3 linked regions of the Solanum lycopersicum genome follow. The protein of the gene in region 2 binds, or shares a complex with, the protein of the main gene of each other region. Links are inferred from orthologs where the notes say so. Each region holds a gene or a part of one and is shown on either strand. Other genes may lie near its edges. The genes, in order: GAL83, SNF1-related protein kinase regulatory subunit gamma-1 and SNF1-related protein kinase regulatory subunit beta-3.

Region 1 (4,098 bases), on a different chromosome or scaffold from region 2:
TGACAAGAATCGCAATAATAATAGGAATGTGTCATCTGAAACCTCTAGAAAACTCGATGTTATCAATGCTCGACTGCTCAGCCTTGACATGAAAGTTGATTCCAAGCCAGGCTACCCTCAAACCCTCGCCATCGGGATGGCCTCTGGTGGCCTTCTTCAAGTGCTCCCTCGTGTTGCAGAATCGGTTGTCCAAATTTGGAACTCTGTTAGAAATGCTACCAACTCAAAACAGTAATAGACCATAAATCTTGTTGGTTAGCAATGCTTTCTTGTAGTCATGGTTTTTTCTACTTCTGAAGTAGAGTTTTGTTGAACTTATGATATGCCAAAAAAATAGAAAATTGTTCTCTTAAGGCCCCATTGTTCAACCTGGTGTCATGTATCTTTAGCATGTATATCACAAATTTTGGCTGATATACAGTTGTTGTCACCCAAGATCTATGGTCTTTATTTCTACTAGATGAGCGTAACGTTTGCATACAGTCTATATTCTTTTTACTCAACTCATGAAATCACATTGAATAAATTATTAATATATAGTCAAATCGGAATTTCATATTTTATTCTCCACATTAACTTTTCTTTTTCATTTGATGATATTAAAAGTTCAAAAAAATAATTTTGTCCTATTTTCTTTATTATTAATTGTTGATAATAATAATACTTGGAGGCTATCACTATCATTGTGCTCCCAAAGCAACGTGGGCACACACCTAAAGAAGATAATATATGCACATTTATAAAATTTAGTAAATCTACACCTTCCATTTTGTACTTATCCTTTATCAACCATTTTGATCTCTCCATGTCATCAATATTTATCCTCTAAGTTTTCCTTTTATATTTTTTCACTTTCCATTTCTACCCTTTTCCACTCGCTCTTCGATCAAGAGTATTTAAAATATTTTTTTTATTTCGTAATAAGTAAAAATAAGATTTACGTATATTTCAATATATTTGTTGCATTATTTTGTAAATTATCTGCCCTCCAATGAAGAGTCTTTTTGAAACAATTCATTTTTATTTCTTAAGAAATAAGAATAAGATTGACATATATTTCATTGCATTTTTTGTATTATTTTATAGATTAGTCGAGGTGTTTTTAAGCGAAAGTAGAAGGAAGAAAAAAGTCAACTGAGGGCATTATTGTAAATAAGTTCAATAGTGTGCCTTATCTTTTACTGTATATATATAAACACGAGAACGTGACTCTTATTACTTTCTCTCTCTACATATACATACAAAATATACATATGTATATTCACTAGCATTATTGGGAAGACATGGGGAATGCGAACGCCAGAGAAGACGGCGCCGCCGGAGACGGCGACGGCGACGGTCAGGTATCGGGAAGAAGATCTAATGTTGAATCTGGAATAGTAGAAGATCACCACGCTCTGAACTCGCGAGTGCCTTCGGCTGACTTGATGGTCAATTCTCCTCCGCAGAGTCCACATCGTTCAGCTTCACCTCTCTTGTTCGGACCTCAGGTTTCCATTTTTATGCTCATTTTATCCTATTTATTATATATACATATGAAATAGTATATGTGTATGTGTTTGTTTGTGGTGTTGGTGATTCAAAGGGGATTTAGGATTTGGTGTGGAGTAGAGCTCAAATGAGGTCTAATTTGAGCTTTAGATATAGTTCATTTGTTCAATATGTAAACTTTTTTTACCTTTTTGGAGATTCAAACTAAGAATTTTGTCTTAAAAATGTATTTTTTAAAGGAAGGACAGGGTTTTGATCAATATTAGTGTACTGTTAGAGTCCTATGTTAGTTGGAGAGGGGAGGGACTGGCAATGCTTAATGAGCTAGCTTTTTGGGATGAATTAGGCATTAGTATCGTATATTTTACTTGGTATCCGAGCTGGGTATTGGCTTTGTTTATATGAATTTGAGCAATCCTCTCTTAGTGAGCTAGTTTTGGGGGTTGAGTTATACTCAAATGTCATAACTTTACATGGTATAGAGTTGGATCCATGCGCATTCAAGCTCCTTGCCCACACTACAGTTGGACCTGTTCGTGAAGGGGTGGTTAGAGTTCCACTTTGGTTGTATAATGAACGGATGGTCTGCTTATATGGACTTGGGTGAGCTAGGTTTTTTGGGTTGATTTAAACTAAGTATCATATCTTTACAAGTACCAGAAAACACAAAAGAATGGACTTGTCTCCATTTAAGTATTTAAGTAATCTAGCAAATGATGAGCGAATGCAGTGTAGGGTCTGTGCCATTTACAGTGTTCTGTCTTTTCCACATATAAAGTTTGCTCGCCATGGGGTATATACTTGAGAAAAGATGAATCATTTGCCCTTCAAAACATCTATGATTTCTTTTTATTTAAGTGCACTTCTTACCATATTGATATGATGAGAATCACAACTTATAGTACTTTCTGTTTTGTTTCCAAATGTCTAAATTTTAATTACAAAAAATGAGTTGATCTAGCCTGATTTACTGCAAAAGTTGGTCTCGTTGACTCTTCTTTAGAAAATGTGCCAAACATATTAGGATGGAAGAAGTAATCATTTTTAAATGGTTTAATCGTATGATGGTCAGCTAAGGTGGTGGATACACCCACACCCTATGCAATTACTCTGCATGTTATACTGCCTGTCTGTATGCCTTTGAGTTGCGGTGATGTGTCTGCATCTATAGGGGAGAGTTGCAAATTGATTGTAGTGCTGTTCATTATATGCTTAACTGTGATTTGTTGTGTTTTCCCAATGTAGTAGCGATGAAGTGTTCTGCTTGACACTAAATTGAAACACCTATAGGAACAACCATTACAACATCCTGATCCCAGATCGGTAATATGAATCCTCTATTTTCATTCCACTTCTATTAGGTTTTCATGCTATTCCTATGTGAATTTCCTTCAGGAAAATGCTGAATGAACTCTTCTTTCTGTTTAGTTGGAAGCTTGCATTATAGGGCTTGCCTGAGTGTTGGCCTAGCCCTCTGTTAAATGGGAAAAGGGAAAGCATCTCATGGCCTGTCTATTTGTTGGGTAAAACAGACAACTAATTTATATTAGCAAGGTACATGAAAAAACAAAAGGAACTTATGCCAGTCAAGCAAGCTATAATGTTTCTGTATAAGAACCTAGTGCATCCGGGAGCAGGTGGCGGGTGCAGAAATGTTATGCTGTAATCTTAGTAGGACTGGTGAAACCTTAGTCAATCTGTAGTCAAGTGACAGTTTTTCAGCTCTGAATAATTCACTCTTATTCACTTTGGCTGATTTTTTTTCCACCTTATATATGATGAATATTCTTCATGTTTTGTAGTCAGCACTATCACTCAAAATTTAGGCTTTTCAAAGTGGACAGAAGGGAATAATGTCCCTCTGAGGTTGGCAATTACCCAAGCAAGCACCTCTTATTTTTAGTTAACTTGGAGATAGACCAGAGCAGTTAATTGCTTCTTGGGCACCCCAATCGTACCTCATAAATACTTACGACTGACTAGTTTCGAGACTAAACTCCTCTTTATCATCCTTTCAGGTGCCAGTAGTTCCTTTACAAGGAGGGGATGGCAATCCTGTTAGCAATCAAATGTGGGGCAATGAATGCGAGGATGCCTCTGATCATTCACTAGAGGGCGGCATACCTACTTTGATAACATGGAGTTATGGTGGTAATAACGTTGCTATCCAAGGATCTTGGGACAACTGGACATCAAGGTATACTCTGATTCAACCAAGTACTAGCCTGTGATCATTCCTGTTAATGGAGTTTCTGAATGTATCCACTAATGATATTTGCTTGCAGGAAAATTCTCCAAAGATCAGGCAAGGACTATACCGTTCTTTTGGTCCTTCCATCGGGTATATATCATTACAAATTCATTGTGGATGGGGAAGTTAGATATATTCCAGAACTTCCATGTGTAGCAGATGAGACAGGCGTTGTCTTTAATCTTCTTGATGTTAATGTAAGTGAGAGTTCTGTTTCCTGATCATTTTGATACATTATCACAGCGGAGGCATCTTTGATAACTTCAGCACATTAATGCATAAACATGTGTTTTATAGTCTATATACTTGCTGTTCCCTGATAATGTGTTTGGCTCATAACACGTCCTTCATACAGG
Region 2 (4,032 bases):
TAAACTTGAACATCTTTCTGCAAAATTGCAATCGAATGAACCCGAGAGATGATAGGATAACAAAATAATTTATATTCATAGATTGTGGAAAAGTTATTTCATAATCTGCAAAGAACAAACCACAAGCTCAACAGAAGAAGCAACAAAACTCAAAAGCTCATACCTGAATGATGCTACTTGGCTTCATTAAAGGAAGACCAAGTTCATACAATTTCTTAGAACCCCAGCTCTCGAACCAATGGAGACCAGCACATTCTTCTAGCATGTGTATAACAGCAGGTTGAGTTATGATGTTATCAATCTTATATTCCCCTAAATCAACCACAGGGACACTCTTCATCTTGTATTTAGATAACAAGAGAAGCATTGTCAGAAAGGAGTTCGATTTCTGCAAAGCCAGAAATGGAGCCCAGCGGAATGAACCTGAAATGTCCCGAACCTAAGTAATCACATGTTAGTCAGCACATTTGCCCAAATAGACTTGTAAAACGAAAATCAGTAGATGGTTATGGAAAAATAACTAGTTGACTATAGAGAATAACCTTTGTGTTCTTGTAGAGATCTGACGAAGTTAATGTCTCAAAAAAGTTACCAGAAGTTGCTGTTGGAGATTCAGGATGCAAACTTCTGAATCTCGGAGAAGCGACTCCATTAACAGCTGCAGCCAAAGCAGGGCTGAGAGTATCATCTGCTCCATTCATTACCGAATCAAAAGCAGAGGTGCCCTCCATCTTTTCCGACTGTGAAGTATGTCACAAACTGTTTTGAGCATCTTGATAAGAAAAGTATGTAAAACAAGAATACCAACGTCTTTGTAAGAGTAGACTTCTCTGATGGACACTCAACTAATAGTTATTATCTCATAAAGTCACTTTCTTTGAAGAAAATTGGAATAAGAAGAAATGTGACTTCCTAATATAATAACTATTAGTTGAGACCATCCAAGAAATCAACCAGTCATTGCAACAATTTACTAGACCTTGATCCATTTGAAAACTTGTTTTAACCTTTCTCAACTTTTAAAGGCAACACATGTTCATCAATTTCATAGTTGTGAATGAGATAAAACACATGAGATTGTCGGAGAATTGAGGAAAACACCAACCAACTTGTCCCAGAAAGAGACGTCACATGTTTAACTATGACTATGTATAGGTGCATACCTGATGGAGGATCCACACGACAATGCCGGCGAATTCCACTATGCCAATATATCTATCAATCCAAGTAGCATCTTCAGGGGCATCAACATCCACAACAGGTGCACTTAGTATTTTGTGCTGTGATAGTAACTTAACAGCTTCGGCCAAAGTTGCATCAGAATTTATCTCAATAACTGCAGAGAAGAATAACAATCATTGACATCAATCGGACAATGGTAGTACCAGAAGAGCAATTTTAACCATAATCACACTACAAAAAGAATGTCTGCTAAGCCAGCTTTTCACTTGCAGAGAATAAAGCACCCAAATGAAACGCCATGAGAAGGTTACCAACTTAGGCTGCTTACAAAGAATTTCAGTGTGTAGAAAATTTCTCTAGTTTTTAAGATTCAGTTTCTACTCAAATAGATTTCTGTTACTATCTATTGTCGCTTGGACTTTAATTATAGCACTCTTTTGGTGTAGTTATTGTTCCTTTTTCCAAAGTGTTATCATGTTTACTATAGTAATTTGCCATGATCCCTTCACTTCAGTTATTTCGTTTTTTGTTTGGCTGTAATATGCTTTGTCTTGAGCCAAGCGTCTATCAGAAACAACCTCGCGGTTACACCGTGTATGTTGTAGTTTCTACTCAAATAAACAATACTTAACCAACCAAAATGATCTACTAAACCTCCTTTCAACTTTTTTCTTGGATAAACGAACCATGGTATTCAGGTCAGCTTACAGACTACTTTTCCCGGGCATATGTTATCTCCCACCAGCACAAGGTGGTCGCGAGTAACTTTGTCCACCAACCCCACCACCACGCACACACAGACGCACGCAGGGGTGACATAAAAAGGCAACAAAAACAAATCATGATTCTTGACTCTGATAAAAGAATCTCCGGCTACCATCATTCTGATGATTTAATTAGTAAAACATCCAACAATTCCCTTCTTTTAATAAAACCTGATTAATCTAAACAAGCCACAAATCAAATAAGTTCCTACAACTAAGACTAATTAAAACATTAAATCCACCCCATCACCCAACGTAAAGATCATTTCTGTTATGTATTACAAATCAAACCCTTGACACCCTTTATTCAAGTGATCAAGAAAATCATTTTTTCCACACCAAATCAAGAATCTCTTATACAAAATACCAAAAAAACACCTAAAGATCATATCTTTGTGTGTTATTAATCACACCCACAAGCTAGAAATCAGAATTATCAACCTCTAATCAAACATAATTAATGTTTTTCTAACCTTGATTAGAAGGAGCAGGAGGGAAATCAGAAACAGGAATGTTTTCAAAACATGCGTTGAGCTTTTCAGTAGGACTAAGCTGTGGTTCTTGTATATCCCATAGATCTTCTACTTGCATACCAACTTTTGCTTCTGGGCTTCTTGGTGTTTGACATCCTTCCTCCATCACCATTTTTTTTTCTTCTCTGTGGTTATTACAGAGTGATTGACAAATAAATCAAGAATTTGTTGCTTTTTAAGAAAGTGTAGTGATCCAATAATTACACTAATATATTTGTCAATTATTCCGGTATTAGTACTACCAATAACAATTTCAGTAATCAAATAAAAAAAATTAACAAAAAGATACACGTAGATTATGATATGGTAGTCCCGATCAATATGTCCACCTGTACTGTTCGGTTCGCTTTTATTTGTCATATTATATTTTTTGAAAGTTAATTTAATTAATTTTTAAAATTAAATTTGATTATATTAAATTCAATTTAATAAAATAATATATTTTAAAATATTAATTAAAATTCTTATAATTTAATTATAAAAATAGAAATTATGACAAATGATAGCGGATAGAGAAAATAAAATTGTGCCATAAATATACTTTTATTTTATTTATATTTTATATCAAGTGAATTATTGAGATTTTTCATAACTCGAAATAAATAACATATTCAATTAGCTATATTATTTTTTTATATAAATCCTTTAATGAAATTTTTTAATTACTTTATATTTAAAAATAAATTTATAAATTAAAAAAAACAATTAAAAATAACTTATAATTAATAATGAACTTATGATAACGTTTTCTTTAACGAGTTATGATCAAGTTTGATCGGAAATAAAGGTTTAAATAATTGAAAAAACTTTACACTAGAAAAAGTGAAATATCTTATAAGTTCTTGTAATTATAAAAAGGTATTTATTATCAGTATAAATATAAAATAAGACTTGCTAATTGATATCATTTATATTTTAGTCAAGACTCATTTGGTAATTTATTTATTCGGAAAATTAATATATTAATTAATAATATTTTAGTTTTAGTGAGAAATGAAATAGATGTTTATTAGGAAGGAAGATATAGATGAGAAGTAGAACGGTAAAAGTGGATGATTGGGGTAGAGCTCTATTCTTATCCATTAAAAAAATGATTAATTAGTATTTGTTTGTTTCAGAATTTACTAAAAACCATTAAAATAAGCAAAGCCTAACACTTATCCGGTTTTGCAGAAGGGCCACTTTTTATAAACAAATAAATCAGGGGGCGTTACGTGGACAATGCAACGCTTTCATAATCAATTATGACACCTCATATGTATTTCTGAATTATATTTCAAAATTATCATAAATAATAGGGTAACTTTCACTATAGCAAATAAAAAATTTATATTTGTATGCTATAACAAACTTTGCATAATTGCGCTCCATAGCAAACATAAAACTGTATAATTTGCTATACATATACAATTGTATAATTCGCTGGTCTAAATTGTATAACTCGCTGGCCTATTTCACTATGTCATAAATAATACATATAAATGCTATATGTCATAAAAATTAATGTTTCTGTCGTTTAAAAATTAAAGCATATATGTTCTTCACTCTAATAG
Region 3 (4,175 bases), on a different chromosome or scaffold from region 2:
TGTAATGTATCCAAAAGTTATCATAGTACTATCAGTTATCTATGTAATTGTTATTTGCGTTCTAAATCCTGTAATGTCGTATCAAAAATTAATCAATAGTGTAAATTTCACTAATTAATCACATTATTGCATTGATTGCTTGTATTAATTAAGGCCATGTGTATTTAATAGTAACAGTCTAAATTGTATCTTTGATATAAAATTGTGTCAAAACTTTGATATAAATAAGAAAAAAAGTAATATTATGCAATCACATATACTTGATTTCGAAATCACTATTTGAATCATATTAGGAACGAGTAAAAGTTGTCAAGTCTACTCAATTCGAAAAACTTTAAGCCAAATGATATTTGAAGTTAAGATGAATTTCAAACACTATATTTGAAATTATATTTTCTTAAAACGTTCAAATATGTTTATCTAAAATTAGACTTTATTAAAATTAACTTTGAAAGTGACACCTCTAAAGTCATTACAAAGTAAGTAAATGTGAGTTTTCTTCTTTGTTAATTTAAAGTTCAAGTTCAATATTCAAATGATTCTTTCTTTTTGTTTTGATTTATAAGTATATATGGTCCAAAGCTATTTCATAATTCAATATTATATTTTGTGGCGGTAAATGAATAGCTTGAGTTGAGTATGGACGAGTTAAAATAATTTGAACAAAAACGAATTGAATTTTCAACCCCCATATATACACACTTTTCCAACACTAATCCTATTGTACATAACTTTTGTAGCATTTCATTTAGGAAAAGTTTTGCAAATAGCAGTAAAAACAACTTCATTAGGCTTTATAGCTATCGTTTGCTAATTACGATTCTTAGCTACATGTTAGAGGCGGAGAAACGAGCGAAGAGAGGGATGAGAGAGGTGAGCCGAAGAGGGCAGAGATTAGAGAGAGGTGGATTATAATTATATATTTGCTGACTTATACATGTATATTGATTATATAATTATATATGTAACTGATATACATATGTATTTGTATATCTTTACAAGTTAGACTGGAAGAGAGAGGAGAGACTAGAAACAGAGGACAAAGAATGAAAGAAAACAAATTGTATTTGTATATCTATCATATTATTGTATATGTATATGTATAATTTGTATATATATAAGAGAGAAGAGAGAAGAGGGAGGAAGATAGGAGAGAGGCACACATAATTATAGCTAAAACAGAGTCTGCGAGTTATAATTAATTTAAATTATAACTATAATAGCTAATTAACTAGTATATATATATATATATTTATCCGCGTAATTTTCTCATTTCCTTTATTTACTTAATTTGTCATGCTCTTAATTAGGATATTTTATAACTTGGCCCATTTGCTCTTTTTGCTTAAGCCCAATTGTTTAATCTTTATGTTCCTATTTTTCTTTTTTTGGCAAAAGTTTTATTTCTTTAGAGAATTATGTTTTTTCCTAAAATACAATTTTTGTGATTTTGTAATTTTGATTCTTTTGATTCCAAGGCGGAATCTTCTAGGTGAGATACTCTATATAACCTGTAAAGAGTGTGGTTTTTTTTTTTTTTAGCTTTTGAGTTTCAGAACCCCTTTTGTTTTTCTGGCATTTTCAGGTGAAATTCATTGGTTTTAGTTCTTGGGATTACTTTTTTTTGCTTTGTGTAAACTTAAAGTTTTGATTTTTATGTGCTTCTTTGCCTGTTTCTGTAGAGTTTGTGTATAAAAAAGATCATTTTTACTAAATTCTTTATCTTTTTTTTTCTGCTCTGTGTCTTGTGGATCAATTTGGGTGTTTTTGTTTAGTAGTTCTTGTTGGGTTTATCTGATTTTTGTTTATAAAGTTTTGATTTTTCTGGCATTTTTCAGGTGAAATTCTTTGTTTTTGCTGTTGGGGTTATTTTTTTTTGGTCTATGTAGAGTTAAAGTTTTGATTTTTATGTGCTGCTTTGCCGTTTCTGTAGAGTTTGTGTTGAAAGAAATCATCTTTACTGAATTCTTGATCTTTTTTCTGCTTTGTGTCTTGTGGATCAATTTGGGGATTTAGGTTTAGTGGTTCTGGTTGGATTTTTTTGTTTGATGGATTAAAGTTTTGATACTTCTTGTGTTTCCATTGTTTTTTGTGCAGATGGGTTGTTGATTCTGGTGAATTCTTTGTGTGTGATTGAAGAACCAAAGAAAAGTTGAATCAGGTTAGTGTAGCTTGTGGACGTTAGATTAGTTTATGAATGTTTGTCTTTGTAGTTACTTGTTGTGTTTGCGAATTTATGATTGTAGAATCAAAATCACACATGCGATCAATGTGTACAGATTGTGTAGATTCCCCATGTGAATGATTTTGGATCAATTTAGGGTTTCCTTTTTTGGGTGAGGGGAGGTAGATCGTGGTACTAGGATACACACTACCCTCCCTAAACCCCACTTGTGGGATTATGCTGGGTATGTTGTTGTTGGTGCTGCTTCTGGATAGATTATTGATACATGTTAAATAAATTTTTTAGAGGTTGGCAAAGTAGTTGATTCTTATTTTAGAAAGAAAATCCTCGGTCAAGAAAGATCTGTAATTTCAAATTGACAATCTGTAGTATCCGATAAGCAGCTTTTATCCACTTTTGGTGGGTTTTGTGTTACTGGAGTTATCCTGCACTTGGAAGAAGTAGGAATTATTGGTTCTTCGTCAATCACCTGTTTGAAGAACTTTTAGGAGCGATAAATGTGTCTCAATTAGCTAGTGGGATAAACAGAAATGTAATTGAATCATGCAGCCACGTGGTGTTTTGCATCGTAGATTAATTATTAGCACTTAATCATGGAGAAGGAAAGAGTTACGTATCATCTGCCCTTGAGCATGGAAAACTCCTGGTGATTTACATGGTAGATAAGTTTTTTGCACTTAATCACAGGGAAGGAAAGAGTTCACGTAGCATCTGCACTTGAGCATGGAAAGCACATGGTGTTTAGGATGGTAGATAAGTTATTATTAGCACTTAATGGAGAAGGAAACAGTTTACGTAGCATCTGCATTTGAGCAGCGTTTCCATGTTTGTGCTCTCCCCTTAAATTACATGTAAAATTAGCTATACACGTCTAATGAGCTGTGAGTGTACAGTGTACACTTGCTTTGTATGATAGTGAAAAATGCACTACTTATCAGGAAAGATAAAAAGAGTATTTACAAGAGTGCAATACTGGATGTTTGCTTAAAAGTGTGGATACTTAAAGATGAAGCCCAATAGAAATAGGTTGAAAGGAGTTAAAAATTTGCATAGTAGATTACAAATATTAGTTAAGAGAGGGATTTGGTGGTGATTATCATAAGCACCGCTGTCATCAATGTTTAAAAGAATTTAAGATAAACATAGTTGGTCCTCGAGGAAGCTTTTGAAGTTAGATTAATCATTTTAGTTAAATTTAATTATATATGTGTGTGTTGGTGCCGATGCATACAACCTCCTACTGATGAGAACTATTATCTATCAACTTTCAGTTAGACTTCTGTGCAACCTTGCTCTTGGAACGACATTAACAAAACGAAGAATTTGTGGAATAGTTCAGTGTTTTGTTTCATTGTAAATTAACTAGTTTTGAAACGGTGGTCTACCTACCACAAACTCCTCCTTTATCTGGATTTGTGACTAGCAATTTGAGTAAGCTGACATAATTTGTTTGGGATTGAAGCGTAGTTGTAATTGCTTTTGGCTGATGGAAATGAGTTAGAAGAGAGGATTGGTGGAGTGGAAAGGCTAAACCAATAGCTAAGGCTTTTGAATTTGCTAGGACAAACTCGCGGATGGATAATTCTAACTATTTGACATCAGTTATTAAAAACTGTTAGTTGAGTTGTCACATTCGAAGACCTGCTCTTATCTTTGGCTGTATTCTTGGGGCAGTTTAAACAATATAACAACTACTACTCAATCCCAAGCTAGATTCTTTCACTTGTATTTTAATAATCTGAGAATATATGCGATATTGACGAAGTTTGAATTGCTGCATGTTTTGGATTTTTTTATTAAGGTAACCAGTTGGAATGTGGTGTGGAGTGCAAGCATTTATGGAAGTAGGGGTAAGAGTATGGAATTGTGTACGTGTTCCATCTATATATAGGCCTTGTTATTTTTAAATTTACCCTTTTTAGCGTCTCATTTTTTGTGTATGGTATATGCCATAATGGGGTCATCGGCTGATCATTAAGTCAAGATGGAT

Evidence for each region.
Region 1: SNF1-related protein kinase regulatory subunit gamma-1 (region 2) and GAL83 share a complex: the UniProt entries of both Arabidopsis thaliana proteins name them as parts of the probable heterotrimeric complex. The link is inferred for Solanum lycopersicum from reciprocal best matches to the Arabidopsis thaliana genes KING1 and AKINBETA1.
Region 3: SNF1-related protein kinase regulatory subunit gamma-1 (region 2) and SNF1-related protein kinase regulatory subunit beta-3 share a complex: the UniProt entries of both Arabidopsis thaliana proteins name them as parts of the probable heterotrimeric complex. The link is inferred for Solanum lycopersicum from reciprocal best matches to the Arabidopsis thaliana genes KING1 and AT2G28060.

Annotation. Positions count from the first base shown.
Region 1 is NC_090811.1:69,120,221-69,124,318, forward strand, and holds the start of GAL83 (SNF1 kinase complex anchoring protein), read left to right. Parts: upstream 1-1,263; 5' UTR 1,264-1,283; coding exon 1,284-1,490; intron 1,491-3,509; coding exon 3,510-3,688; intron 3,689-3,776; coding exon 3,777-3,939; intron 3,940-4,097; coding exon 4,098-4,098. Other genes in the region: uncharacterized protein, read left to right, coding at 1-235. UniProt on the Arabidopsis thaliana protein: Regulatory subunit of the probable trimeric SNF1-related protein kinase (SnRK) complex, which may play a role in a signal transduction cascade regulating gene expression and carbohydrate metabolism in higher plants.
Region 2 is NC_090802.1:58,706,534-58,710,565, reverse strand, and holds the start of SNF1-related protein kinase regulatory subunit gamma-1, read right to left. Parts: upstream 2,807-4,032; 5' UTR 2,592-2,806; coding exon 2,420-2,591; intron 1,337-2,419; coding exon 1,164-1,336; intron 741-1,163; coding exon 543-740; intron 440-542; coding exon 164-439; intron 1-163. UniProt on the Arabidopsis thaliana protein: Regulatory subunit of the probable trimeric SNF1-related protein kinase (SnRK) complex, which may play a role in a signal transduction cascade regulating gene expression and carbohydrate metabolism in higher plants.
Region 3 is NC_090810.1:59,798,345-59,802,519, reverse strand, and holds the start of SNF1-related protein kinase regulatory subunit beta-3, read left to right. Parts: upstream 1-1,352; 5' UTR 1,353-1,492; exon of another isoform or gene 1,493-1,585; intron 1,586-1,818; exon of another isoform or gene 1,819-1,834; intron 1,835-2,094; exon of another isoform or gene 2,095-2,097; 5' UTR 2,098-2,161; intron 2,162-3,986; 5' UTR 3,987-3,999; coding exon 4,000-4,053; intron 4,054-4,175. UniProt on the Arabidopsis thaliana protein: Regulatory subunit of the probable trimeric SNF1-related protein kinase (SnRK) complex, which may play a role in a signal transduction cascade regulating gene expression and carbohydrate metabolism in higher plants.